Xenopus tropicalis: one gene and its partners. The protein of the gene in region 5 interacts with the protein of the main gene of each other region in a pairwise test. Links are inferred from orthologs where the notes say so. Each region holds a gene or a part of one and is shown on either strand. Other genes may lie near its edges.

What was found.
Region 1: the proteins of htt (region 5) and mtus1 interact in binary tests that used the Homo sapiens proteins (3 or more experiments, as listed by UniProt). The link is inferred for Xenopus tropicalis from reciprocal best matches to the Homo sapiens genes HTT and MTUS1.
Region 2: the proteins of htt (region 5) and ctnnb1 interact in binary tests that used the Homo sapiens proteins (3 or more experiments, as listed by UniProt). The link is inferred for Xenopus tropicalis from reciprocal best matches to the Homo sapiens genes HTT and CTNNB1.
Region 3: the proteins of htt (region 5) and golph3l interact in binary tests that used the Homo sapiens proteins (3 or more experiments, as listed by UniProt). The link is inferred for Xenopus tropicalis from reciprocal best matches to the Homo sapiens genes HTT and GOLPH3L.
Region 4: the proteins of htt (region 5) and ing5 interact in binary tests that used the Homo sapiens proteins (3 or more experiments, as listed by UniProt). The link is inferred for Xenopus tropicalis from reciprocal best matches to the Homo sapiens genes HTT and ING5.
Region 6: the proteins of htt (region 5) and hoxc11 interact in binary tests that used the Homo sapiens proteins (3 or more experiments, as listed by UniProt). The link is inferred for Xenopus tropicalis from reciprocal best matches to the Homo sapiens genes HTT and HOXC11.
Region 7: the proteins of htt (region 5) and pfn2 interact in binary tests that used the Homo sapiens proteins (3 or more experiments, as listed by UniProt). The link is inferred for Xenopus tropicalis from reciprocal best matches to the Homo sapiens genes HTT and PFN2.

Annotation. Positions count from the first base shown.
Region 1 is NC_030677.2:42,519,879-42,523,378, reverse strand, and holds part of mtus1 (microtubule-associated tumor suppressor 1), read left to right. Parts: intron 1-1,555; coding exon 1,556-1,764; intron 1,765-3,500. UniProt on the Homo sapiens protein: Cooperates with AGTR2 to inhibit ERK2 activation and cell proliferation. May be required for AGTR2 cell surface expression. Together with PTPN6, induces UBE2V2 expression upon angiotensin-II stimulation.
Region 2 is NC_030682.2:53,356,609-53,360,594, forward strand, and holds the start of ctnnb1 (catenin beta-1), read left to right. Parts: upstream 1-1,186; 5' UTR 1,187-1,246; intron 1,247-3,986. UniProt on the Homo sapiens protein: Key downstream component of the canonical Wnt signaling pathway.
Region 3 is NC_030684.2:127,040,923-127,045,169, reverse strand, and holds the start of golph3l (Golgi phosphoprotein 3-like), read right to left. Parts: upstream 2,801-4,247; 5' UTR 2,725-2,800; intron 1,445-2,724; exon of another isoform or gene 1,357-1,444; coding exon of another isoform or gene 1,310-1,356; intron 585-1,309; coding exon of another isoform or gene 584-584; coding exon 416-583; intron 1-415. UniProt on the Homo sapiens protein: Phosphatidylinositol-4-phosphate-binding protein that may antagonize the action of GOLPH3 which is required for the process of vesicle budding at the Golgi and anterograde transport to the plasma membrane.
Region 4 is NC_030681.2:125,710,127-125,713,626, reverse strand, and holds part of ing5 (inhibitor of growth protein 5), read left to right. Parts: intron 1-217; coding exon 218-384; intron 385-495; coding exon 496-607; intron 608-1,488; coding exon 1,489-1,576; intron 1,577-2,375; coding exon 2,376-2,511; intron 2,512-3,168; coding exon 3,169-3,230; intron 3,231-3,500. UniProt on the Homo sapiens protein: Component of the HBO1 complex, which specifically mediates acetylation of histone H3 at 'Lys-14' (H3K14ac) and, to a lower extent, acetylation of histone H4. Component of the MOZ/MORF complex which has a histone H3 acetyltransferase activity.
Region 5 is NC_030677.2:22,812,396-22,815,895, forward strand, and holds part of htt (huntingtin), read left to right. Parts: intron 1-802; coding exon 803-1,016; intron 1,017-1,705; coding exon 1,706-1,811; intron 1,812-2,815; coding exon 2,816-2,978; intron 2,979-3,500.
Region 6 is NC_030678.2:146,120,995-146,125,021, reverse strand, and holds the start of hoxc11 (homeobox protein Hox-C11), read left to right. Parts: upstream 1-1,227; 5' UTR 1,228-1,557; coding exon 1,558-2,254; coding exon of another isoform or gene 2,255-2,258; intron 2,259-3,588; coding exon 3,589-3,821; 3' UTR 3,822-4,027. UniProt on the Homo sapiens protein: Sequence-specific transcription factor which is part of a developmental regulatory system that provides cells with specific positional identities on the anterior-posterior axis. Binds to a promoter element of the lactase-phlorizin hydrolase gene.
Region 7 is NC_030681.2:118,629,756-118,633,255, forward strand, and holds part of pfn2 (profilin-2), read left to right. Parts: intron 1-1,780; coding exon 1,781-1,973; intron 1,974-3,450; coding exon 3,451-3,500. UniProt on the Homo sapiens protein: Binds to actin and affects the structure of the cytoskeleton. At high concentrations, profilin prevents the polymerization of actin, whereas it enhances it at low concentrations. By binding to PIP2, it inhibits the formation of IP3 and DG.

The DNA of each region.
Region 1 (3,500 bases), about 20 Mb from region 5:
ATCCACAGTCCTAGTAATTTCTATAAAGTTTAGAAATTATCATATCTAATTTATAGATATGAATTTGTGATTAGTGTCTCTGAAGCAGATTTAAAAAAAAATCCTTGTGTGTCAGATGGAAATTCCTAGCTTTTATTTATTTTCAGGGTGGCCTCCTTCATGGCTATAGACTTGATCCGGTTTCATGATAAAGATGAGCTTTGACCAAAGATAAAGCGTCCTTGTATAAATATGTAGGTGTGTGCATTATATTCTGTATTTGTAGTAAGAGTTTATATTGCCTGCAAGGAAAAAAATTATGGCAGCTTTTATCAGCAGTGAGGTCTCAATGATACCAATATTTTCCTCCATCCTTCACTCCCAGCAGTTTTTGTGCAATTCTCTTGCTGAGAAATGCCCATGTAACCCAAACCTAAGCAGCTACTAGCTTTAATACTGTGCTCTGCTATGCCAAGTTGCTGGCAAATATCTGAGGTGTTTGTAGTGTGACCAAACCCAAATCTATTCCTTTTGTAACAGAATATAATCAAGTGGAATTTTTAGTGCAAAATCTATCTGTGGTAACCTGCTGTACAAGAAAGACATGTCATATATTTATGTAACACAAAACTTTAAGAAATACTGTTCTTGTAATTGAATGTTTAGTTTTGTCTGCAAACAGTATGAAATATTGTATAACTTAGTGCTTTGGAAACAGAGGTTTTCTTTTCCTGCTATCTTATATCTAAATGGCTCATAAACATCTACACTGCTGGTTTGAATGCATGTAGCCTGTGTTACAGTGAGAGTTAAGGCAAAGACAGATGAGGCAAATAGCCACCACAATTTTTAAAATCCAGATGCAGCGACTAATCGCCACAGCTAACCGTAATGGCGACTTGTACCATGTGGTTGTGATGGGTTTTTTTAAAAAAATCAGTCTGTCTTTGCCCTTAAGGTGCATTGGTGAAGAGATAACTATATAAATAAATTAAATCTGAACCTCTAAATTAACAAAGAACAAGAGCAGCCGTTCTGCCAGAGTGTTTAGTAGCTTGCTGTCTGGCAACAGAATATCCAGAATCCCTTCCAATCTTAATGCCAATCTCCTGGACGTGTGCAGTGCCCTCACCATTGAGATTGTGGCCATTTAAAAATTTGGAAGTGTTTAAGTGCGAGTGCATGAAATTGCTATTGAGATGAATGGGAAGTTATTCCGGCGGTTTAATTCTTGCTGACAAAGCTATTAAACACTCAAACAAATTCCTGGAATCCAGCAAATTCCTGGAATCCCTGGATGTGGCAATGCCTTAAAGCCTGTGAAATGCATGGCATGTACTCTTATGGCATCCACCTGCCTGTCCACTTTGGCACATTTAGCCCCGAATATGTATGCTGTTCCTGACCAAATGTACTGAGCAGGGTGCTAACTTGGAGCAGATTTGTGGGTTTTTTTCCCCAATGGTGGAGAAAATGGCCATGTGACATGGACCGTAATTTTGTATACGAAAGTAAACGTTTATATAAAAGGGGAACTTAGGTGGTATATTTCAAAAGCTGATTTTTTTTTCTTTAGTCGAAAAAAATAAGCCGAAGACGAGCCCAAGAGGTCCAGTTATACAAGCACAGACACCTCCAGTTGATCCTAAATCAGCTGAACTAACCCACTGCAAAGCCGTGTGTGAGCAGCAGAAAGGGGTTATCGAGAACCTGAAAAATCTCCTCACCAGCAGTAACCAAAAGTTTGAGGCACTGACTGTGGTGGTCCAACAACTTATAATCCAGGTAGGTGCAATCTAAACAGTGGGACTTTGTTGATCACAATACCATTTTATAATAGTTGTTCTATTGTGAAGAAATGGATTCTGGGACCTGACATTCCTTCTGCTTTCCTGAGAATCTGTGCACATCCACTATGAAAATCAGAGGAACTTTAAGTCCCAGAATCCATCATAATGCAAGGGAGATGTTACATTACAAAGAGGTTTGGGAAATGGTTCATCAGAGTGGCATGGTTTCCTTTCCATTTGAGGAATAGGCTGTGTTTGTGCTATTTTGGTACTGTTATTTGGTTGAAGTAAAACTAGAACTAAAATGCATGCTTTGTTTTGAAGAGCAGGGAAGCTAGCCTACAATACATAAGGACACTTTAAGAGAAACTTTTTCTGAGGGAAGAAAATGGATACAAAAGAGAATATCAGATCTACTGAATTGTAAGCTGCAGATGCCAAAAATAGTTCCCCCTCCTCCTCTCCCCTGTGGCACTGCACTATACCAGGATTGTTTAAACAAACTGATTGCCAGCTTACATATTCTTCAAAGGGAATGTGAAAACCATTCTCATTGGTATTTTGTAGTGTTTAAAATGAAAAGGCTTAATCATTAAAATACTGCCGGTGCAGGAGAACAGACTAATTCTATTCTACAAATGTTAACAGTTCATGCAAAAAAAAAAGTACAAGTGCTGAAGGACCTTTGTGAAAATTACATAACTTAGCTGTTTTTACAGGAGGTCCAAGCATGTTTCCGCGCCATGGGCCCCACACAGCAAAATTACTAACTAAATGTGTGAGATCACAAGTTTCACACAATATAAACTTGAATGTGCAGGTATAGTAGGGAGAGATGGTGCCTATAGTAGCAGTTGGGGGGGGGATAATAGCCTCTGGGAAAGGACTGTGGCTGTGGGATAGCAGGTATAGTTGGGAGAGATGGTGCCTATAGCAGCAGTGGGGGGATAATAGCCTCTGGGAAGGGACTATGGCTGTGGGATAGCAGGTATAGTAGGGAGAGATGGTGCCTATAGTAGCAGTGGGGGGATAATAGCCTCTGGGAAGGGACTGTGGGATAGCAGGTATAGTAGGGAGAGATGGTGCCTATAGTAGCAGTGGGATAATAGCCCCTGGGAAGGGGCTGTGGGATAGGAGGTATAGTAGGGAGAGATGGTGCCTATAGTAGCAGTGGGATAATAGCCTCTGGGAAGCGACTGTGGCTGTGGGATAGCAGGGAGAGAATTTTATTAAAATATATTAAACAAATACAATAAAAATATAATTACATTTCAATCAAGCAAAAAATACATATAAATCAATATTGCATCAAAAAAAAACAAAGCGTACCTCCCTCCAAAGCATCTTATTTCTTACAGATGGTTATAAAACACATATCAGGAGGCATCTTTGTTTCTTATTTTGAGACTTGTCCAAAGTTTTCCCAGCAGACCTTTTAACCTGTATTCGCACACCTGCCCCCTGACTCTCCATCACACTTTCGTCGGGGCAGGCTCTATAAGCATGGCCGGATTGCATACACAGGTTGCACTTTATTGCCTTTACACACTCCTTGCTTGGGTGCCCAGTCTCCCCACACAAAGCACGTTTCTGTATGTTACACTTTACAGCATAATGCCTGTTGGACCCACATTTATAGCATAGCCTGGGCTGACCCACATAGAAACAGACACCCCTTGCTTTCCCAATGAAAAAAGAATTTGGGAGATGCCTCTGAACATTCTGATCCAC
Region 2 (3,986 bases), on a different chromosome or scaffold from region 5:
AGGGCAAGTGTTATAAAGGAAACCACTGGCAATACTGTATGGCTTTGACCATTAAGTTGGAAAAAATACATCATTCATGGACTGTCCAGTCTACTATTCTGCTGCTGTTTAAATACAATCAATCTTGTGTAAACAGAAAGGTGGAAGTTGCAGTTCATCTTCAGCTGGAGTGCACAAGGTTTCACATCCCTGACAGATACACTAAAAATATCTCATAAACGTTTACACAATACACTTTGTCCATTCTGCTTTTATCTCTTATCTGCCCAGACGTGCCCTGTGACTTTGGAGGGGGCAGGGCAAATGTACCCTCTCCTCTAAGCTTTGGTTTAATATTGAGCTCTGTTGCAGCACTTCAATCGTGCAGGACTCGTGTTACAATTCCAACGAAAGAGTTAATACTTCCCCCTCCTTTCTTTGTCTCCAACTCTGCCCTCATCGGGCTCCACATTCCAAGCCTAGGAGGAAAAAAAACAGCTCCGGCCGCATTTCCTACTGAGGATCATTCCGCGTTTAAGTCCTCCAATCCGCACAATGAGCAGGAATGAATCTCATCTCCGCCCAAACTGTTCGTCGCTTCCAAAACCTGACACAAAAACTTTTTAATGCTTAATTCAGTAACACCCATGCCTGTGACAATTGCCACTATATCGCCATTAACTAACTTACGCTTCCGTACATACACAAACCATTAACAGTTGGGTGGCGAATTGCATCTTTAGGTTTACAAGAAACATTTATGCACCAGCTCTACTCGAACGTATCTGCATATTTCATGCGGAGCATATGATAGTATTACAATTGCCCTTTTAGTATTTTCCGCAGCTCTGTATACAACAACCTAGGGAGGGCATTTGCTTTGGGGAAGAACTATTTTTTATATTTCCTTCTGAATCACTCCGCCCACGCCCCGTTTATGAGACCTTTTCCTGCCGCCGAAGCCCGCGGAAGGATATTCACACGCGTATGTAATGCGACCCATATAAAACAAGGGTGTGCGGCGCCATTTTAAGCCTGTGTGTCGCGTTTCAAGCGAACGGGAGAGTAGTGCGTTTGTTCATGGCTGGGAACTGAAGGGGATCAGAAACATAAACGGGGAAAAGAAAATCAACGCTCTTGCCGCCATACCCCGTCCATCTTAAAGTGGGACACAATTCGGAACCTGCAGGGTCTGGAGGTGTGTAGGAGACGGCCAGTACCGGGCGAAACGCGGTGACGGCCGGAACCGGTGGACGTCGAGCCAACGGTAAGATACTGCAAATGTCTTTTTATTTTTTTTGTAGCTTCGGTGTCGCTATCGATTGTTACCGTACCTAGGAAGCTGCTTGGGGAGTGGTGGCATTTGTGGTTATGCAACAGCTGGGGAGCCACATGATGGAGGTTAACGTGGTCGGATCTGTTTGACTTGACTTGGCAGTGTGGTTAGTGCGTTTTTTTTATCTTTTAAGGATTGTGGGCAGGTACTGTACATGTCTGCGGTGTGGAACTTGCGGCCGCCTGGCCTCGTTGGGTAGAGCATTGTTTGGAGTTAAGGATCAGAAACAGGGCCGGAAGTTGGTTGTGTGTGTGTGCCTTTGTACTTGTCCCATAACTGTACTGCATAGTATTGTTGGTGTGTAGGGGGGTACCATACAGTCCTATTTAAGGAATCCCAATAGATACGTATCTAAACTACCCTTTCCATCTGCTTGTTGGCACCTTGTTTAAAAGCCGTCTTTGTGCGTCAGCGGGCTGGCCCTCTTTCCTTTGATTCTAGAACTTTTATAATGTGTGTTTTGGCATGGAGTGATGTGCTGAGTGCTTGCAGGTTCTACTGCTTTTGAGATGTGAGAACTAATGTGCAGGAATGGAGAATTCTATCCAGTGTATCAGATTCACGATGCGGGACATGTATAAATCCATACGTTGTTTTAGGGCAGCTTTGGGAATGTGTATATATTCCCCCTCCCTGAAACTCTCCCCTGTGTACTTAGTGTTTCAGTGATGGAGCTGTGAAATATGAGCCACTCTTGCAACTTTTTTTTTTCTATTCACTCCCTGTCTTGGCCTAGGGTGAGGCTCAGTCAAGCCAGGATATTCATCGCCCTTCCGCTTAGAATTAGTGTTTCCAGTGTTTTGTTGCAGCAGTAAGCTATAGTCATGGGCCCTACTATCCTATCGTTCCAGCTAATGTGTACAAGGTTTGGCTTCCTGTAAGAAACCTTGTACGTATTTGGGTTTAGATTTTAACTTGTGGGTGCCAAAACTTGTGATTTAATGCTAAGTTAAATGATCTATATTATAAATTAAGCAAATGTTACTGAAGTACAAACAATTGCCGCTTCCCATGGAGTAGGTAATGTGAGAGTAGCTCACTTGTGCCTTTCAGTGTGCAAATATGCAAACAAACACCCTCAAGCTGAAAAGTGTTTGTGGTGGAGCTTGGAGAAATTCAGGTTAGTGGGAGGTGGCATTAGGTGCTTTTTACTGGGATGAAATCTGCTCATGTGCTATAGTATTGGCTAACATGGCTTTAGTTGAGGTTTTGTTACATATCAAGGCTAGTCTCCAGGACATGGATTTTTCTTTCCCCCAACTCCATCTCCACCCTCTCCTGTCCTGAAAGTATGCAGGGTAGTGAATAGATTAGACTAGTCAGGAATGTGATCTTAAGAGAAAATGTGGTGCAGAAATTCCAGGCACTTAACACATTTCTAGCTGTTTTGTGCTGGGGCACGGCTCTTATTTGACAACTAACTAGACTAAATATCAACTTTAATACAGCTATGGCTTCCGATAAAAGCCACCTTCTCATGTTAAGCTATGGCAGTGTTTTGATTGTTTCTCAGTTGCAGCAGTCTGCGCACAAGTGGTGGTTTTGTTCCACCAGCTGCAGTAGGAAGGAAGGGCCTGCTGGCAATTCATGCATTGGGGCATTTGTGGCTTCCTCTCCAGTTAACAGTACAAATGTTTAGTGCAAGTATTGTAGCCGATGTGGTAGGGCAAATATTTGTAACTAGCCCGTTTTGGCACTAATGCAACTGCATGTTCAGAATGGTAGAGGATTTGTTTCCTTAAACAGTTCAGTAGGTGGGCAGTGTGCACTTTGCTCCCTCACCTGCCTTTGACATGGGAAGTATGTTTCCTTGATCTTGCAACTATCTTGAAAACATGCTGTTGCCCATTGGGAAATGGCCAATTGGACATGGGGGGGTCTTTCTGTTCACTGCTGCAAGAATCAAAGGTCCTAGTCGGTGACCTGTGTGCATTTCGGGTCGTAAGTCTACTTCCCCAGACAGTATCTCATGGAATTAGTATGTTCTTAATGTGTAGCATTTTTTTCTTAAGTTTCTTCTATGCTCCCAAGACAGGAAGGTTAATTGGCTCCTCCCCAGAGTGGGTGTATGGTAGGAACCATAGATCATGCTTCATTGGGGCAGGGAATGTTACTGTATAAGCTCTCTAGATTGCCATAGAACATGTTGGCTCTATATAAAGCATAATAGTGGTTTGTAGCTGCTAACTGGCAAAGACAGACACTTCATTGTTAACTGTGCGAGCAGCACTATCTGGTGTTAATAGGCCTTATGGAACAGTGCTTGCCTTTGCAGTGTCCTGGGAAATGACCAGTACAACTAACTATACTTTCTGTGTGAGCAGCAAAGTACTTCTATAAAAGCTGCATTAGTTTCCTTGCCAGGAAGTAAAAGTGCAGCTACCACTAAACATCAAATTTAAATGAAGCACTGTGGCGTGTACTAGCTGCTTTAAATGTTGTCCTTTTAGTCAAACTCCTGCAAAAAACTAGCCTTTGAAGTGTTAGCATGCAAATTCAATCCATGTGTGTTTGGGAGGAGCAGGGGTCTTTGGTTTGTAGGTTTGCCTTACTGCGTCAATGGCATATTACTTTACTGTTTAAGTAGGTAACTTTGTTCCATGTAAACTTAACATTATTGAAGCGATAGATGGACTTTCCCATGGGGTTTAAGTATGCTGTCATGTGTGTA
Region 3 (4,247 bases), on a different chromosome or scaffold from region 5:
TCGGCTGACAGGTGCTGGGGCAGAGAGGCAAGCGAGAAGAGGAGCAGGGATGAGAGGACGCAGGGAGGGGAGAGGAGCGGTGAGGAACGGTGACAGCTGACAGGTGCTGGGGGGGAGAGGCAAGCGGGGAGGCTAGTGGAGCGCCATGTTTAAAACATGGCGGCGCAGACAAGGAGAAATAGTGTGTACTTCGGGAGGACCGTACTGGGCAAAGGAGCATTTTTAGAAGAAATGATTTCAGCTTTAGGTAGGGGCAGGAGCCCTCTATTACATACTAAAAAATGAGTAAAACCCTTTCCTTCTCCTTTAAGCCACATGTATGAAGATGATGCGGAAGAATCCTGCATTTTAGAACAATCTTAGCTTTCACTAAACAATCCTTTGTAGCATTAAGGAAATATAGCATTGGACCTACCTCCTTGTCTTTGAGCCCTAGGAGCAAAACTTCTTCCATAAGCGTCAAACGAATGTCCTTAGAATCGGCGGATTCTTCCTCATCTTTGTCTTTGATGTAATCTTCTGAATCCACCCTGTTTTCCTGACCCACATCTGCGCGCCGACCACGTCGAGTTAAAGTGGTCATCCTAATATGACAAGGAATAAAGCAAGCATGAAGTAAGGATGGGAGAATAAAGCATGCGTGAAGTAAAAAATGCAGGAGGCCAAAAACAAATATTTAACTAAACTGAATTTCTGAAATATCCAAAAAAGCCCAAATTTGTGTTTAAGAAAAAATCCAACTAAATATACATATCCATGTTTGAATTAAGCTCACTGGATCACCCCTTCAATTAGGCAAGCTTACATAACTGCAGCTTACCATTCTTATACAACTATGTGTGGCAAAGATATATTATACATCTCTGTAAGAGCAACAGAAAGTCTAGGGAGATTTCCCTTCTATGGAGAGATCCAAAACAGCCATTTGCTTCATGTTAGGTGTTCAAATGTTTTCTCCACCCTTTTCTACTGTTCTGGCCCCATTCCAAAGTTTGAGAATGTCTACATATATATAAAAAAAATCTTTGACCCCAATACTTTTCAAATCATAGTAATGCCACTGCAAAAGCCTGCCATTTTTTCCTTTGCAATATTGCCAAGATATGCCCCTTTCTTTCCCAAGTAACTGCTAAAAGACAAATTCATGCCCATACCCTATCCTGTATAAACTACTGCACCTTCTTACTAACAGGTCTTCCAGCCTGCCACCTCTCTCCCCTGGAATCAATCTGCTGCTAGAGTCCTCTGCTCTCTGCTAACAGGGAACCTGTTCAGACCCAGGTAAAATATATATCTTGCAGCTCCTTACCTCTGGATTTCTATCCCTGAGCTTCTCCGTAGGGAAATTTCTCTCATTCCTTTCAATAAGAAACTCAGATCCTACCTTTAGAGCACTAGCCCACTATTTAGTCTAGTCCAGTCCGTACCCTTAAGGGCCAATGCCCAAACGTTGTGCACTTCTGCCCTCCAATGTGTGCCTGTATGTTATCCGCCCACTTAGAATTTAAATTCTATGGACCTCCTCCCTACCGGGTCTCTTATCACAGGACACCTCTCAATGCAAAAGCCACCCCCCCGGGAGCAGGTGCTTTCACCCACGTGAAAGGTACCAAAATGGCTTCAGGCATTTAATAGTGATATTAAAGAACCAGGAAGTCTAGTCAGCAAACTATCAGGGCCCAAAGTGCAGTTTGGTCTTGGTTGGTATAATGTGCCCCAGGCACTGCAGACTGAGGGGGGGGGGGGAATAATATAACTCAACCTGTGCCCCTCCTGCTGTTGTGTACTGAAACATATTACAATTGTTAGACATTTATACATGATTGATACAAGGGGGGCCCCAAGAGGTACAAGGGGGGCCCTAAGAGGTACAAGGGGGGCCCCTAAGAGGTACAAGGGGGGGGGCCCTAAGAGGTACAAGGGGGGGGGCCCTAAGAGGTACAAGGGGGGGGCCCTAAGAGGTACAAGGGGGGGCCCCTAAGAGGTACAAGGGGGGGCCCCTAAGAGGTACAAGGGGGGGCCCCTAAGAGGTACAAGGGGGGGCCCCTAAGAGGTACAAGGGGGGGCCCTAAGAGATACAAGGGGGGGGCCCAGCGATACAAGGGGGGGGCCCAGCGATACAAGGGGGGGCCCTAAGAGATACAAGGGGAGGCCCTAAGAGATACAAGGGGGGCCCTAAGAGATACAAGGGGGGGCCCTAAGAGATACAAGGGGGGGGCCCTAAGAGATACAAGGGGGGGCCCTAAGAGACACAAGGGGGGGCCCTAAGAGACACAAGGGGGGGGCCCTAAGAGATACAAGGGGGGGGCCCTAAGAGATACAAGGGGGGGGCCCTAAGAGATACAAGGGGGGGGGCCCTAAGAGATACAAGGGGGGGGGCCCTAAGAGATACAAGGGGGGGGCCCTAAGAGACACAAGGGGGGGGCCCAGAGATACAAGGGCCCCCCCGAGATACAAGGGGCCCAGGGCAACCCTACACTTAGCTATTCTATGCTATTCTATTCAATGCATTATATCCAGCTTCACATATTCCCGGAAAGTTGGCAAGAAGCATCATTTTAGACAAATGACCCAGGAGGAAGTTGGGCTAGCCGTGTTAGTATTTACTCCGGGGATTGAAGCCCGAGCAAATGAGGAACCCGGGAAATAGACAGAACAAAAACTATAGATAAATATATATTAATAAAGACGCACGAAAGGGACGCAGCCCCAAACATTTCTCACCTGTTTTCCTCTCACTTGAGCCGCTGAGAAACTTCACTTCCTGAAGTCGGACACATCAGCTTTGATCAGCCCAGAGCAATCTAACCTCCCTGGCTGTCTCCTTCTGACAGGCATTATTCCTTACCAATCACGTCTTTCCCTTTGTGTCACACAGGTCACTCCGGCGCGCCTCTCCCCGCCCCCTTGCGCACGTCATGCAAGCTTGGTCAGAGGTGAGATTGTTGGTTTGACAGGCGCGCTTGACCAATGGGAATTGGCGAACGCTACAGCGTAGGCTTGGCTGATCCTCCCAGCCATCGAGATGTGATGATAGAGCGGCTTTTCGCCGTCAACCATGTTTTTATGAGGGAGGATTCCTTAGCTTCCGAAGTCGCCTGGAAGTCATGGCGGAAATGAATATAACAGTATAGCAAGAGGGTAGATAAAGCTTGTAAACAAGCAATAGTAATAGGGAACTTCTGGCATACGTCTGTGCATTATTTCCATGGTTACAGGGGATCTCTTTTTGCATAATTAATACTTTTATTAAATAATTATAATGTGTGTTGGACACTGGATCAGAAGTGTGCTCTTCTTCAGGTCCTTTAATCAGTAAGTGTTCTGTCAGCACCCCATCTAGGGTTGCCATCTGGCCGCTATTTTACCAGACTGGCCGGTATAAATGATGCTTGAGAGTAAAAAAGGCAGAAATATAGACACCTCTTCAAAAAATTATATTTTAGTCCATAATTTATTGTTAGATTTATTTGCCATTTTTCCCCACTGTACCTGTGACTAAGGACTAGAGAAGTCAGAATGTATCCAGCAATAATATATCTGCCTTTTTACATATATTTAATAGCAAACAATTAAGGCTGGACATTTAATGATACAGTGCTTGGAGGCGCAGTTTAGTTTATATATTAGCAAATAGTCTTTGTAAGAGCCGGCACTCCTTTACAGTGATCAGACTGGAAGTGAGGCTGAGGTGACTTCTGCACTGACGACGCGGCTGGAGTGATCTCCACTTGGTAGTATATAACCCTGCTAAAACTGCCCAAAATAAAAAGATTTCTGTAAAACCATTTTTGTGAAACCCAGGACTTATACTTACAAACGTATCTTTACGCACTTGTACCTGCTACCCAGTCTGACCCCTAACCCAAAGTACAACCCGCTGGCCTTAATGAAACTAGAAGCGACATAATCACAAACAGAAATAGACATCATCAGAAGATTAGCTTATATTGAGAACAGTGACGTGCAACCCATACCTGCATCAGCAAACCACAAAAACCTATGACCAAACCCGATGCGCAGGGTGCAAAGTGCAGCAAGAGCCACAACACAAGTGCTTCATCACTAAGGGTGAGATTTTGCTCTGCTAATTGCATCCATGGTCTGGGTAAATAACCATTTTAGTGTCTATAACACTATGGGTAATGTTGCAGCCTCTCTTTTGTAGCCTTTTGCACTTCAGCTAAGCAAGTCAGTTAAACCATTTGGGTTGCCATCTGTCTGTTTTTCACTTGGACAGTGGGGTT
Region 4 (3,500 bases), on a different chromosome or scaffold from region 5:
TACTGCTCTGCCATTCTTTACAAGTACATTGCTGGCAATTCAGTAGTAGGCCAGACTGGGATTCACACCAAAAATGATGCAGGTGGGGTAGAACATTACTTTCACCAGACTCCTCTTATAGTATCTTTGTGTATTGAAACCATGTAATGGGCCAAAGGTTATTGGGAGGTTTAAGTTGCCTATTAACTATAGCTGTACCTTTTGCTTTTTTTAATAGATAAGAAGAAGGAGATTGATGCTTTAGCAAGCGAATATATTGCTAAGGTGCGGGACTACACCCCTGAGCAGAGAGTACAGCACCTTCAAAAAATTCAGTCTGCCTATAGCAAATGCAAAGAGTACAGTGATGATAAAGTGCAACTGGCCATGCAGACCTACGAAATGGTGAGCAGCAGTTTAATGAATCCATAAATAACAAATGCCATGCATGACTTTAATAATGTCATTTTTGTGTGTAGAAATTATTATTTTGAAATATATTTGTCTGTCTAATAGGTCGATAAACATATACGAAGGCTGGATGCTGATCTGGCCCGCTTTGAGGCTGATCTTAAAGAAAAACTGGAAGGGTCAGAGTTTGATAGTCCTGCAGGACGTGGAGTAAAGAGTGAGTTACAAAATGTTGTGTATAAAAAATCTCGCTAATCTTTTCCTTCAACATTTAAAAATCCCTGCAAGAAGACCCACTCTTGCTCATTCCTCCTTCTCCCTTTACATGGTGCACTATGAATAGAGGTCCACAGAAATACTCACAAGTGGGAGAATACTGTGGCTTCCTAGCATATTTATTTCTTACCAGTGACAGGCACATCCAATGAACCAAGTATATTGATCCAAGTATATTGTATTCTGTTTAATGCGCCCCATAACGACAATGCATGTCTAACCAAACCTTATAAATGTGTTATTTATATTGTACATCGCCACCACCCAATACGTTCCACTCCCTGTATCAGATGCTCTGCCTGCTTGCGTGTTTGGCTGGCAGCTGCCACTTCTATGTTCTTACTGAGCCGGAGTTAATAACACTGCGTGAGCGCAGCAGCACATGCCCCTGTGTGCAATTAACTTGTGTGCCAAACTTTACCTACATGTGAAAGGACTGTCTGAAGGTCAAAAGCTAAGGATTGCCTGAAATGTTACGCGCGTCACATCGGTTCTGTGCTGATCCCTTAATGGTGCAGCGGCGCGTCCCATAATGGTGCAACGCTATGGTGCGTATGATGCCTTGCGCGTGCGTCTGCAAGCCCGTCCACGGGGGGGGGGGGGGATTGCACGCAAGGAGCGCATTGCATCTGCGAATCCATAGGCAACTACCGTATATACTTGAGTATAAGCCGAGGGTTACTTTTTAAGCACATTTTTAGTGCTCAAAAACTCGGCTTATATTCGACTATATACGGTACTCTGGAAGATAAATAGCAGTACATCAAAATTGGAGAAACAAAATTATTCATCCTAAAAAAACATAACTTTTTTGTTTTAAAGAGAATAGAGGTCAAAAAGAAAAACGAGGGTCAAGAGGACGCAGAGTATCTGAAGAGGACACTGTAAAGAAAAAGAAAATGAAAGGAGGGTGAGGAATTGTATCAGTTTGTTACTGTTCTAGTAACAGCGTAGACTATGTGAGACCTCTTATAGTTTCCAGGTTGAATGCCACATACACAATTTTTTTTTGCACCCTTATCAAGCAGCTGTGGCTTTAAACAAAACATTTACATAGTAACTTCCACGTTAATTGTCCAAAATATTACATTTTTCAAAAAGGAATAGATTGTGTAATATCAATAGGGCCACCAAACTGTCCTGAATAAGGGCTAAAAAGTGGTATCTTCAACTGCTGCTCCCTTATTTTTTAATGTGACTGCAAGAGCTGTGGATTTAATGGGTGTTTAAATGCAAGGGTACAGCTGTGTAAGTGTGTGAGTTAGGCTGCTGACCACTTTAAAGGTGAAGTACATTTAACATTTTTATGTTTTAGAATTTCCCATCCATAGCAATTGTTCAATTGCTGCTCATTTTTATATATTTTTTAAGTTTGCCTTCCCCTTGTGTGTCCAGCTCTCAAAAGGGGGTCACTGACCCCAGCAGTCAACTATTGCCCTTTGAGGCTGCAATTATAATGTTACATTTAGGCCTTCTCCTTTTCATGTTTCAGTCTCTCATTCCAGCCATTGCCTGGTTGTTACTGTAAATAGATTGGACCTTGGTAGCCAAATATCTGCTGACAAAAAGCTAAATAATTCAGAAACCATGCAAAAAATGAAGAATAAATTGTCTCAGAATACATTTATAGTTTTTTTAATCTGAAGCTGTTTAATGGGTAATTTACATGACCTAACTCGCTGGCTTGCTGATATATTTGTATTTGCCAGGCCTGTATATGCTGATTCAGTCCTGTCTGTGACCCCTTCGGATGTCTTGGATATGCCAGTGGATCCCAATGAACCCACATACTGCCTTTGCCACCAGGTGTCCTATGGGGAAATGATTGGTTGTGACAATCCAGATGTAAGTAATAAGTTCAGAATATTGTATGGATACATCAGTGTCCTTGCCTGGAAGTGTGTACTGTATGATTGGATTTAGAGAATAATTCAAATCCAAAATGCAATATTTTGTCTATATTCTTAAAAATTAGCAATAGATTGTTCAGCAGTTTCAGCTGATCTGCCTTGCTACAATCTGAGGATTTATTCTGTAGTGTCTTCACTTTTGCAATAGGATAACATTCTCAGAAATAAATTTCTACACTTATTCAAGAAAAGTGCAAGTGGAAATACAGGTTACATCAATGTTTTAGCCTCAGGTTTAAAACTATACCAGCATAACTACTAGAAACTAAGGTAAATTAATGTTTCAACTGGTTGGAATGGAAAAAGTAAACCTTTCAGAATAGGTTTCTGCTTTGTTTAATAAAGACCTAAGGGCATGAGAGTTGCTACAGCTTACTGATTTTATTGCACATTGTATTCTTTTCTCCTTTATTTTTGCGGTTTCTTAAGACAGTCTAATGATTATGTAAAGTGAATGTGTTATAGCCAAAGCTTATATTGCATGTAAAAGCAAGGCGGTTAGAAGTACAGTTCTATTATCTAGGAAATAGGGTGTATGTTTTTTTCCAAGGCACCTAAATGTGTAATTACTTCCTAAATTATTTGCCCACAGTGTCCAATTGAATGGTTCCATTTTGCCTGTGTGGATCTGACCACTAAACCTAAAGGGAAATGGTAAGTATCTATTGTATCAACTGAATTTTTGTTAAAAATAGGAATGCACTGAATCCAGAATTTTTGGATTCTGATGAATGCTAAATCCTCTGCAAAAGTGGAGGAATCTGAACTATAATTTGCATATTTTAATGGAGAAAAATAGAAAATGACACCTGTGAACAAAGTTTGTAGCCATCAATTACCAAGAGTTTTAATGTCATATTAGAATGATGATAAGGGTTTCAGTTTTGTTCTGCTGAAGCTCTGAATCCTTAACTGAATCCTGAA
Region 5 (3,500 bases):
TATTCATATTACAGTCTCTCATTCAAACCACTGCCTGGTTGCTAGGATAGAACCCTAGCAACCATATAGGTGCCGCAATATCAAAGTAAAGAGCTTCTGAACAGAAGGTTAAATAACCGAAATACCACAAAAAATGAAGACCAATTGCAAATTATCTCAGAATATCCGTCTGTTATACTAAAAGTTAATTAAAACAACTCCTTCAAGGACATAAAGGGTTAACTGATGACATCATTTCCATTTGACCTTAAATAGCATGGCAGATTGGTTCCATCTCCCCATACCTGCGTTGTCTCTTCAGACTTGGCTCATACTGGTTTGTCCCTTTCCTCTAACAGGAGGGGGGCCTGTGCTCCCATTGCAGAAGCCCATCAGTGCACTACAGATAGGATTAAACATCGTTTGATTATTAAAAATTCTCTATCTATTTCGCTTCATTAGAGGTCAGGCAAAGATGCAGGTGAATGTAATGCAGATCCGTTTTCAAAATCCAATTATAAATGCAATTCATTCTAACCTACTTACAAACCCTTTGTGCCTGACTTCCATCATATGAAGGGCAGGATTCCAGATTCTAATCACTTTTACTCTAAGCAGCTTTACTTTGTATTCCTCCATTTATTAATTGGCTTCTCGCTACTTTCAGGTTCTGGTCGGCACCAATGGTCACATCCATATGTTAGCAATGGCAGCCTTGCCTGGAACATACCCTGTATATGTGTGCCGATCAGCAAATAATCCTCCCTTTTGTGCCAATCCAGTAGAGCAGTAGATAATTTTTTTCATGTCTTGCTTTGCCCAGATGTGCGGCGTGATGGTCTCTGGGAGTGAAGAGTCTACGCCCTCCATGGTGTACCACTGTGTCATGCGAGGATTGGAGCGCCTCCTACTGTCGGAGCAGCTGTCCCGGCTGGATGGGGAAGCGCTAGTGAAACTGAGTGTGGACAGAGTGAATATGCACAGCCCTCACCGGGCAATGACGGCACTAGGACTGATGCTCACCTGCATGTACACAGGTGGGGGTTGGCTCTGACCGCGTATGTCTTTAGGCAGAGCATGTGTGTTGTGATTGGGTGTGTGTCTGTGTATGTGTAGGGAAGGATATACAGAATAAATGTGCTGATTTAGAAGAGCAGAGTGCACAAGCGTAGTCCGTTCCTGGATAAATTCCTAGAATCGGTAGCGTGAGAGGATATTTGGAATAAACAAAGTAAAGCACATTTACATTTGTTGTGCATGCCTACAGAGCAATGCATATATATATATATTAGCCAGTGGCTTCCCATACCAACTGTATTAAGCACAGTATCCGTGCAACTGGCTTAACTTTAGAACCCTGCCTACCTGTGCTTCTTTCTGTATAGAGCAGGTCTGGGATTCAAAATAGTCCCTGGCATTCCAAGTACCCAGAGGCCCAAATGCCCCCCAGCAGCCCAATAAATAGTGAGTGTCTGTGGCATCTTACAGCAGCCCCTCTGGCATTTGCCAGAACTCACAGATTGCCAGTCCAGGCCTGATATAGAGATCATTCCTGTATCACTGCTATTCCAAGGGAACGGATACATGGTACATACTTGCTCTTTCTGCTCATTCACCCCCCACAAAGCTTTATTATAATTGGGACCTATGCCTTATTCATTAAGCGCTGATAAAAGCCAAACTGAAATGTGATGATAACAGTAGGGAGTTACTTTTGTCTCTGCAGGAAAAGAGAAAATCAGCCCAGGCCGCGCCACAGAGCCCAGTCCTGCAGCTCCAGACAGCGAGTCTGTCATTGTAGCCATGGAGAGAGTCTCTGTGCTGTTTGACAGGTAATAAAGGAGCAAAGCCATGTTGTTTTACCTTTCTGCACACTCCCTCTGTTCCTATAGAGAAAAAAAAGAAAAATGTATTTATTTAGTTTTTAAAAAAAAAAAAAGTCCCCCAGCCTGAGCCGGGAATGCGGGCACTACTGTGCCACCCATTGTGGGTTTTCTCTGGGTAATTGTCCTTCTGTGGGTTTCCTCTTATAATTCAAAAACATACCGGCAGGTTAACTGGCTTCTGAGTCCCTGCCTCCATCTCTCCCAGGGCCCCTGCCTCCATCTCTCCCACGACCTACCTATATCTCTCCCAGGGCCCTTGCCTCCATCTCTCCCAGGGCCCCTGCCTCCATCTCTCCCACGACCTACCTATATCTCTCCCAGGGCCCTTGCCTCCATCTCTCCCAGGGCCCCTGCCTCCATCTCTCCCACGACCTACCTATATCTCTCCCAGGGCCCTTGCCTCCATCTCTCCCAGGACGCCTGCCTCCATCTCTCCCAGGGCCCCTGCCTCCATCTCTCCCAGGGCCCCTGCCTCCATCTCTCCCAGGACGCCTGCCTCCATCTCTCCCAGGGCCCCTGCCTCCATCTCTCCCAGGACGCCTGCCTCCATCTCTCCCAGGGCCCCTGCCTCCATCTCTCCCAGGACGCCTGCCTCCATCTCTCCCAGGGCCCCTGCCTCCATCTTTCCCAGGGCTCATGCCCACACCTCTCCCAGGGCGCCTGCCTCCATCTCTCCCAGGGCTCATGCCCACACCTCTCTCGGGGTGCCTGCCTCCATCTCTCCCAGTGCATGTAACTAGTACAGAGAACTGAGACTGAACTCTGCTCTCTCCCTCAGTGGAATTGCATGAGATGTAATTGAATTGTAACTCTGATTACTGTGCTGATCCCAGTTGGAGCAGAGGGAGAGGTATAGAATGTCTATCACCCGTGGTTCATTAATCTGCTGTCACTGAGGAGAGCTGCGCTGCACTCTCTCACCTGTCTCTCTCTGTCTCTGCTCATTACAGGATAAGGAAAGGATTCCCCTTTGAAGCCCGGGTGGTAGCGAGGATCCTTCCACAGTTTTTAGATGATTTCTTCCCCCCACAAGACGTGATGAACAAGGTCATCGGGGAGTTTTTATCCAACCAGCAGCCCTACCCACAGTTCATGGCGACGGTTGTTTACAAGGTACATGTGAGCAGAACTACTGACAATCTCCCAGCAGTCATTGCTCCTGTGTATATTTGTGTATATGGCAGAGTAGACTTTACACTCAGAATACATTTGGGAATGGAAACCATGAGCTTCACTCCCAGTCACCGCTTCTGCTTCACTCACCTTGGAGAATCCTAAACAGAAGGAATCATATTTTAATCATATTGAATGATTCTGATTCAGCAGTCTGTCCCTTTATTATTCATTAAAGGGATTGTTCACCTTTGAGTTAACTTTTAGTATGATGTAGAGAGAGGTTTTAATTTTTTATTACTTGTGTTTTTTTAATTATTGCACTTTTTTGTTCAGCAACTTCATTTTGTAATTTTAACAGCTATCTGGTTGCTAGGGTCCAAATTACCTTAGTAACCAGGCAGTGTTTTGAGTGAGAACCCGGAATATAAAAAGGAGAGGGACTGAATAGAAAGATAAGTGATACAAAGTAACAATAAAACTGGAGCCTCACAGAGCAATGGTTTTGGGCTGCCGGGGTCA
Region 6 (4,027 bases), on a different chromosome or scaffold from region 5:
TTGCACTGGGCACCCCAATAATGATTGTTTTGTGATAAAAAGTCCATTTGTGCTTACTGTCTTTATAGAATTTGGGCCTGTGTGGCTTACTCTCCAGCGCATCTATATGGTATGTGAGTGTCTGTATCTATCTATCTATCTATCTATCTATCTATCTATCTATCTATCTATCTATCTATCTATCTATCATCTATCTATCTGTCACCTAGACACATATAGTGCTAATCAGGCGATCGTAGTTGGTAACTGAGAATTGTATACCGTAGCAAAGTATATGGCGGAAATGTTCTTTATTTCACTAAATGGACTATGGAAACAAAGAAGATGGTCCGTTATGAGTTCGTGTATGGATCAAAGGGTCCTAATATGAAAGTGCCACAGGACAATGTAAATTAGAACAGAACATTACTCCAAACTGCATTTTTACGGATTACCAGGTACCTTATACATAGGAGCCATGCATATTGTAAAGCATTATAAGTACAGAGTTCCAGTGCGGACGTTGAACAAGAATCATATACAATTGATGGAATAAAATAATTCTGCTAAGCAGGATTCCATGCCAAAATGAATAAGTGCAACGGTGGAAATATATTTACATTCCCATTCCCGACTTATACTTGATGTGAGATTTTTAACATTTCTCATGTAAAATAGTTTTCCGGGACCCTTGGTTGTTCTCTTGCTGTGATTATAAAAATATGGGTAATAGAAATAAGAGAAGCAGATCTAGTTTCATCTTAGGTGCCTTCTGAAGTCTGAAGCCTTGATTTTGTCATGTTAAGCCTGGCTTATCTTAAGGTCCATACCTCCACGGCGTTGAACTTGATTTATTTCAGGGCTGACATAAAAAATATCTACAAGAAGGCAATTAGTTATTGCAAGGAGTCTGTTAATTACTTTCTTTCTAAGAATGTCCCCCTGTACGTAGCATGAATAGTACACAGATGTAATGGCTCTATACTTAAGCTGGATTTTACAAATGTTTGAAGACTTAGTGACCCCAAAACCTGCATTGCCCCTAGCAATTGTATTTGATCTCTCCAGTAAAGATTTGCAGTGTGTGCCCCTCAAAGTTGACGCATTAGGTGGGAAAATGAGAGTCAACTTATTTCTAGTGAGTGCAAATCCCCCTGACAGGGGGGGTGAAATCTAGAAAGCAGAGACCAAATTGCAAACTTCAAAAGCCCCCCCCCACCCCCTTACTCCCTCCCAGCCACCCCTTGAAATGATCCTTACACTGCTTTTTCTTCTCAATGCTCACAAGGGGAGTGCCTAAAAGAGAGAAAAAAATGAATACAAATCTGCAATTGATTTTCATAATGTTTCTGCGGTGTTTGAAAACCAATCGTTTTTGAACCTCTCTCAGATCTTACCTAAGTGAACCCTCCTACGCATCTAAGTGCTCCGGACTGATATATGGCAATATCTACTGGGGCATCACGTGTTCCTGGGGAGAGACTAAGACGGACAGCGCGTCATCCAGCCATCCCAAATTTTTCCCCCTCTGCAGATCGCCTCCAAAACATCTATCTATAGAGCCAGAAAGGGAGAAAGATGTTTAACTCGGTTAACCTGAGCAACTTTTGTTCGCAATCGCGCAAAGAGAGGAGTGCTGAATTTGGAGACCGGACAGGCTGCGCTTCCAACCTGTACCTCCCCAGCTGCACCTACTATGTCCCTGAATTCTCTACTGTCTCCTCTTTCCTGCCCCAGGCCCCTTCTCGGCAGATCTCCTACCCTTATTCCACCAACCTTTCCCAGCCAGTGCGGGAGGTATCCTATGGGCTAGACCCCTCCAGTAAATGGCACCCTAGGAGCAACTACGCCTCCTGCTACCCTGCAGCTGAGGATCTGATGCACAGAGAGTGCCTCCCTCCTTCTTCTAGCATGACCGAAATGCTAATGAAAAACGAAAGCGTGTACAGCCATCACCACCACCACCACCATCACCACCATCCCACCTCCAACCACCCCTCAACGGGCTTCTACTCCAGTATGAGCAAAAACAGTGTGCTGCCCCAAGGATTTGATCGCTTCTTTGACAATGCTTACTGTGGGACAGAGAGCCAGGGAGAGGACTGTGTGCCCAAGAGCGATGCCAAGATGGACAGTGACCCCCAAACCAGCGCTCTGTCATCCGGAGCTGAGCAGGGACTAGACCCGGAAGACGAAGAGGAAAATACAAACCCGGGCTCGTCAGCCTCATCCTCTTCTGTCACCAATAAGGAAGGGAGCAAGAGCAGCAATTCCAGTAGGTATAGAGCTTTGCCCAGTATCCCAGGCAGCAGCAGTGCATGGGGGAGGTTAGGGGGCTAGTGCGGTGTTTTGTCGGTCACGTTTTATGTGGAGTTTTATAAGCATTCAAAGGATTTTATTAAACCTACAAAAGCTCTTTATTCCAACGAGAGACGTTTTACGATGGGAAAGCTCTTTGGAGGAGAAGAGGGAAGCACTGAGAGTCAGTGGAGTCACAAACAAACAAGGAGATTTCATTCAAATCCTTGCTCTTCTTTCTTTCTTTCTTTTTTAGGGGGAGGGGGTTGCAGATGGCAGCCCCCATGGCAAATATTCACTTTGATCATGAACTTCTAGGGGCATTTTAACGGGGTTTTTGCTTCTGGGCTGTGGAAGTGAAAGGCACTTGGATAGAACATAACCTTGGCTTCTTGTTCATGCAATTTAATGTGCTGCTTCTTGCTTTTTCTTTCAAAACAAAGTCATGCAGATCATTTTTATTCGGGGTTTAATAGGCTTTTAAAACACACTGGGAAATATATATATATATATATATATATACGTGTGTATGTTTATATGTGGTGTGTGTAATTGCATGTGTTTAAATTGGCAAGGGAAACAAACATACCCGCATTGTGAATGTCATTTGTACTCTTGTATTCTTCATCAAAACATGTTTATCTTGTGATTTCATTCATTTCTTTCGAGAGCCAATATTTATGCACGATGCAAACACAATGTTATTTGCCTCTATTGGTCTGCATGATCTTAAAAACAATTTTTTTACCCCTTTACGGATTTTGCCCTGTTTGGTCCTTAATATATTCTGTGCTTGCAGTAAAGTACATGGAGGCTTACACACGTGTTGTGATGCAATTTCTGCATAGGGATAAAGGCAAATGCACTCACTCCTTGTGTATATTTGCAAAATTAAAGCCTCATAGGGGTGAAACTGTGCCCAATGAAAGAGGGATGTCCATAAATATCCAAATGCTATTGTGCATTTGGATATATTTGAGTATAGTATAAAGACAAAATGAGATTTAGACAGACAGATAGTAGACAAAGAGATGGATAGCTAGACTACTGACATGCTCAATATTCACTGATATTGTCATACACTGTCGTGCGAGTGAATGGAGTAAAATACAAGGTTTTTGACTATATTTAATTACACAGATTTTCAATGAGAGGCATACATTATGCCTCAAAACATCTGCTTCTGTACATTTTAGTAGGTACTATATGCCCTTCAGAATCTTAGCCAGATAATAAATACACAGGGCATGTATCAGGAAGCCGAAACGTAATGCAGTTTTAGAATTTAAGCTCTGTTTTTATCATTTCAAGGTGCTCCTCGTACAAGAAAGAAGAGGTGTCCCTACTCTAAGTTCCAGATCCGAGAATTGGAGAGGGAGTTTTTCTTCAATGTGTATATTAACAAAGAGAAGAGGCTTCAGTTGTCCAGAATGCTGAATCTCACTGACCGCCAGGTTAAAATTTGGTTTCAGAACAGAAGAATGAAAGAAAAAAAACTTAGCAGGGACCGACTGCAGTACTTTTCCGGGAACCCATTGCTGTGAACTTAATTTTTTTTTTTTTTTGGTGTAAAAATCATGCACTGTACTTGTGGAGAGTGGATCTTACAGCATGGCTTGTCCTCTGAGTCCTCAATCATGCTCAGAGTCTGAGCTTTCTCTCTTCCATGTTTCTATATGAACATTACCAGGTAACTGAGGTACCTTTTGCCAGGAGCACTTGGTGTAATTGAAACAATTTACAGACAGAT
Region 7 (3,500 bases), on a different chromosome or scaffold from region 5:
AGGCTGATGCCAGTGTAGGGGCCGATCCTCTGCCTGCTTTATCCACAGGCCCGAGTCAGCTCCGTCTGTCATTAGCCTTACATAGTGTGCCAATGGATAGGATGTTGTAGAGAGTGGCAGTTTGTTATAACGTTGCTAGGGTCACTGATTCTGGTATCCACTTGTTTCTCTGCCTGCACCCAAAATCATCGCATCAGCTGAGTTGCAGGGGCACGGAGTGGATTTTGGCTCAGAATTGCATACTCGCATGTTCTGACTGAAATCCACTCAGTGTGCCTGCACCCCAGCTGATGTAGTGGCTCAGAGTGCAGGCACAGGGAAAGGCTGATGCCAGCGTAGGGGCTGATTCTTGGCCTGAGTTTATCTGCAGCACCGTCTGGCATTGGCCTAAATAGAAGTAATACAGATGTATAAATCATAACAATACAAATGAAGTTTAACAATCTGTCTCAGTCTGCAACTTAACCAGGCAGTATTTTACAGTGTGGGGAAAAGCAGTACAAGAATCTATGAAGAAAAACATTTTTTTTTCTCCTTGTATATATATTTACCCCATCTTCAGTTAATTTTAAAGTAAACGTTTCCACTGAACAAAGAGCAGAGTGTAACATCCTGGCTCAGATTGCAATGAAAGAGAACCACACACGTGGCGATTTTCGATCTTTCGTGCGACCATCGGTCGCATTAAAGATTGTTCCAACCCTCCACTGACATTCAGGGCTGAATCGTCTGATATGGAGGTAAAAACAATAGGATTTCTACCTCCTTCTGCCGATTAAGCCCTGAAGGCAAATTTTGCTCAGGCGCCTTCAATGGCGCCCGATCGGCGAGTCACAGCCTTCTGTGATATCGGTCGCCTCGTCGAGTTGCCATACACGCACCAAATATCGTACAAACGAGGTTTCACACAATATTATCGGTGCGTGTATGGCCAGCTTAAGTTCCACTTGCAGCCCAGTTACGGCCCAGTAATGGGTCCTTTGGCTGTGGGAGCTATAACACACGAGCAATGTTGTATAAATTACAAATGGCTTCTGGCAGCTCCAAGGTTATATTTTTTGTTTTTTTTCTTCAGTGTTATGGGGAGAACAGTGTAACCTTTATTATGCATTTGCTGATGTTAAATTTGTTGGTATTTTTTAGCAAGAGGGTGCTTTGTTCAAGCTTAGGGTTATATTTGAATGTTTTTCATCCTGCACATGTGGAAATGTGCAGTGAGCAAAGTAAAACTTTGAGTGCAATCGCCATGTTTTTTCCCACAGTGCAGTGCTTCCCCCCCCCCCCCCAGAATTCCTGCCTTTGCCTGGGTGAAATGCATGATTGCCCTTTTGCCAAGGATTGTTAGGACATATCCACTACTCATTTGAAACGCACGGACCAAAGAGAATCTATGGGCAGCTTCAATAATGTGGTTGTTTTTAAAGATAATTTTTAGTGTAGAAACTGAAACTGGGACCATATATTATTCATTCAAGTCTAAAGGGGTTTTGAGTTATGCTTTATGCTCCCTTTATGTTTAGCCCAAGTGCCCCCTTCTGCTTTAGACACTAAAGGCCTCTCTGCTCAGTTCTGTTGGTCATTGTGGCCATGCCCTGACAGTACAGCAGGGGGTGCTTGGGTTACACATTCCCAATATTTTTATGGTTGTGTCAAGGAAGTATATGTCCCATTGACAGAATCTAAACAATTACGTGTATTTATTATAGTAACTTATAGAATTTGTAGAAAATTGATGCAATCGTCAATAACAAACAAATGGCTTTGTACTTTGTTCCGGCAGCCTGCAGAAATTGATGTGCTCATAGGGAAGGACAGAGAAGGATTCTTTACTGGTGGCCTAACTGTGGGAGGAAAGAAATGCTCTGTTATAAGAGACAGCCTCTATATTGATAACGATTTCACAATGGACATCAGAACAAAGAGTCAAGGAGGAGAACCAACATACAATATTGCTGTAGGAAAAGCCGTAAGAGGTAAGGTCTTGTGGTGCCTTAGTGTGTGTGTATATTTGATTCTGTGTTGCTAAGCCTGGGTTTGCAGAAAGGATTTTGTTGGAGGTTGGACTGGACCTCTTTGAGTATAAAGGCCTCAATGTTATTTTATATTTTTCAAACAACAAGAAGTTACTGCACTTCTCATCCTGTGCATCAGGTTCCCTATTATGGTGCATAAACAAGATTGCCTTGATAATAGTGTACACAAAATGGCACAGCCTGCTTGCTGTTATTTTGAATTCCATGACTAAAGGGAACAACATTTAATAAATAATTTATATAACGTAAGTAAACTTTATTTTGCTCGACTAACATGATAAAAAAGGATTTGGAATTATTTCTTATGGGGACAGGTCCCCTATAACAAGAAGACCTGCTATCCCATCTGTAATTATAGCCAAGAGGAATACCTGCATCCAGGCAATATCTAAATATCCTTATTTCTATAAATATGTACATGTATTACACCAGATGGCTGTTTGTGGCTGGGAGACTTGCCCAGCATGGTTAAGGCTACAGCACAGCCAACATGAGGAGCAGTTTTTAGTATTTGCTAGATTTATGTAACTGGGAAAAGGCTCTGTGGGGTTGCATGCTAAAATATTTGTGTTGTGGCTTTACATGCTGCCTAAGTTTTGGGGGGCATATTTAAGTAGAGGGGTAAACCACCTCTTCATCAGAAAGGATCTCCATAGTTCTCTGTTCCCATTTATTCTGCAGGGATTGTCTGTGACAATGCACAAAGTAGGTTTGGCACAACCCCTATTGATTGAACGCATGTTGTACAAGGGGATATACAGTCCCTTAAAACTGCAAGTTGGTGCAAAATATCTCCTGCAGTGAGTTTAGGATGTGGCCTACAAAGTTCAGTTGCCCTTTATTTCCAATCAAGATGGAGCAGTTTGATCATCAAAACAAATTCCTGTTCAGTATAATGAGCAATTCAATGTACAAGGGAATGGGCACACTGAGCGCTAGTACCCATATGAGGCAGGTGGTTTTGGCGGGGGACTGTAAATGTGCAGACTATTTTCATACATGACAGTTTTTTAGTTTAGCTGGAATCTTAAACACAAAGCACCATGGGATGTTTACATGTGTAACTATGTTGTTTCACTTGTAAAGAAAAGGGCAAATTGTACGTTATTTTCCTTTCCTGGACATTATCCAAATCAGCACACACTGGGATATCCCATGCCCTGAAGGACCCTCACCAAAGCTTTAAAAGCCAGCTACTCTGTATGGCACGTTGGCCAGGCATGTGGATTCAGCCCCATCCACCTAAAAAACAAAACAAAACAAAAAAAAAAACAAATCTTGACCGAATCACAGGACAAATATATATGTATATATATATATATATATAATTAAATATAATATATTTATGTGTATAATATACAACATTCTGATTGCTGAGCACAATCTCATTGTATCTTTTTCTTTTTTTCTTTTTCAGTCTTGGTTTTTGCAATGGGCAAGGAAGGCGTCCACGGAGGCGGCTTGAAT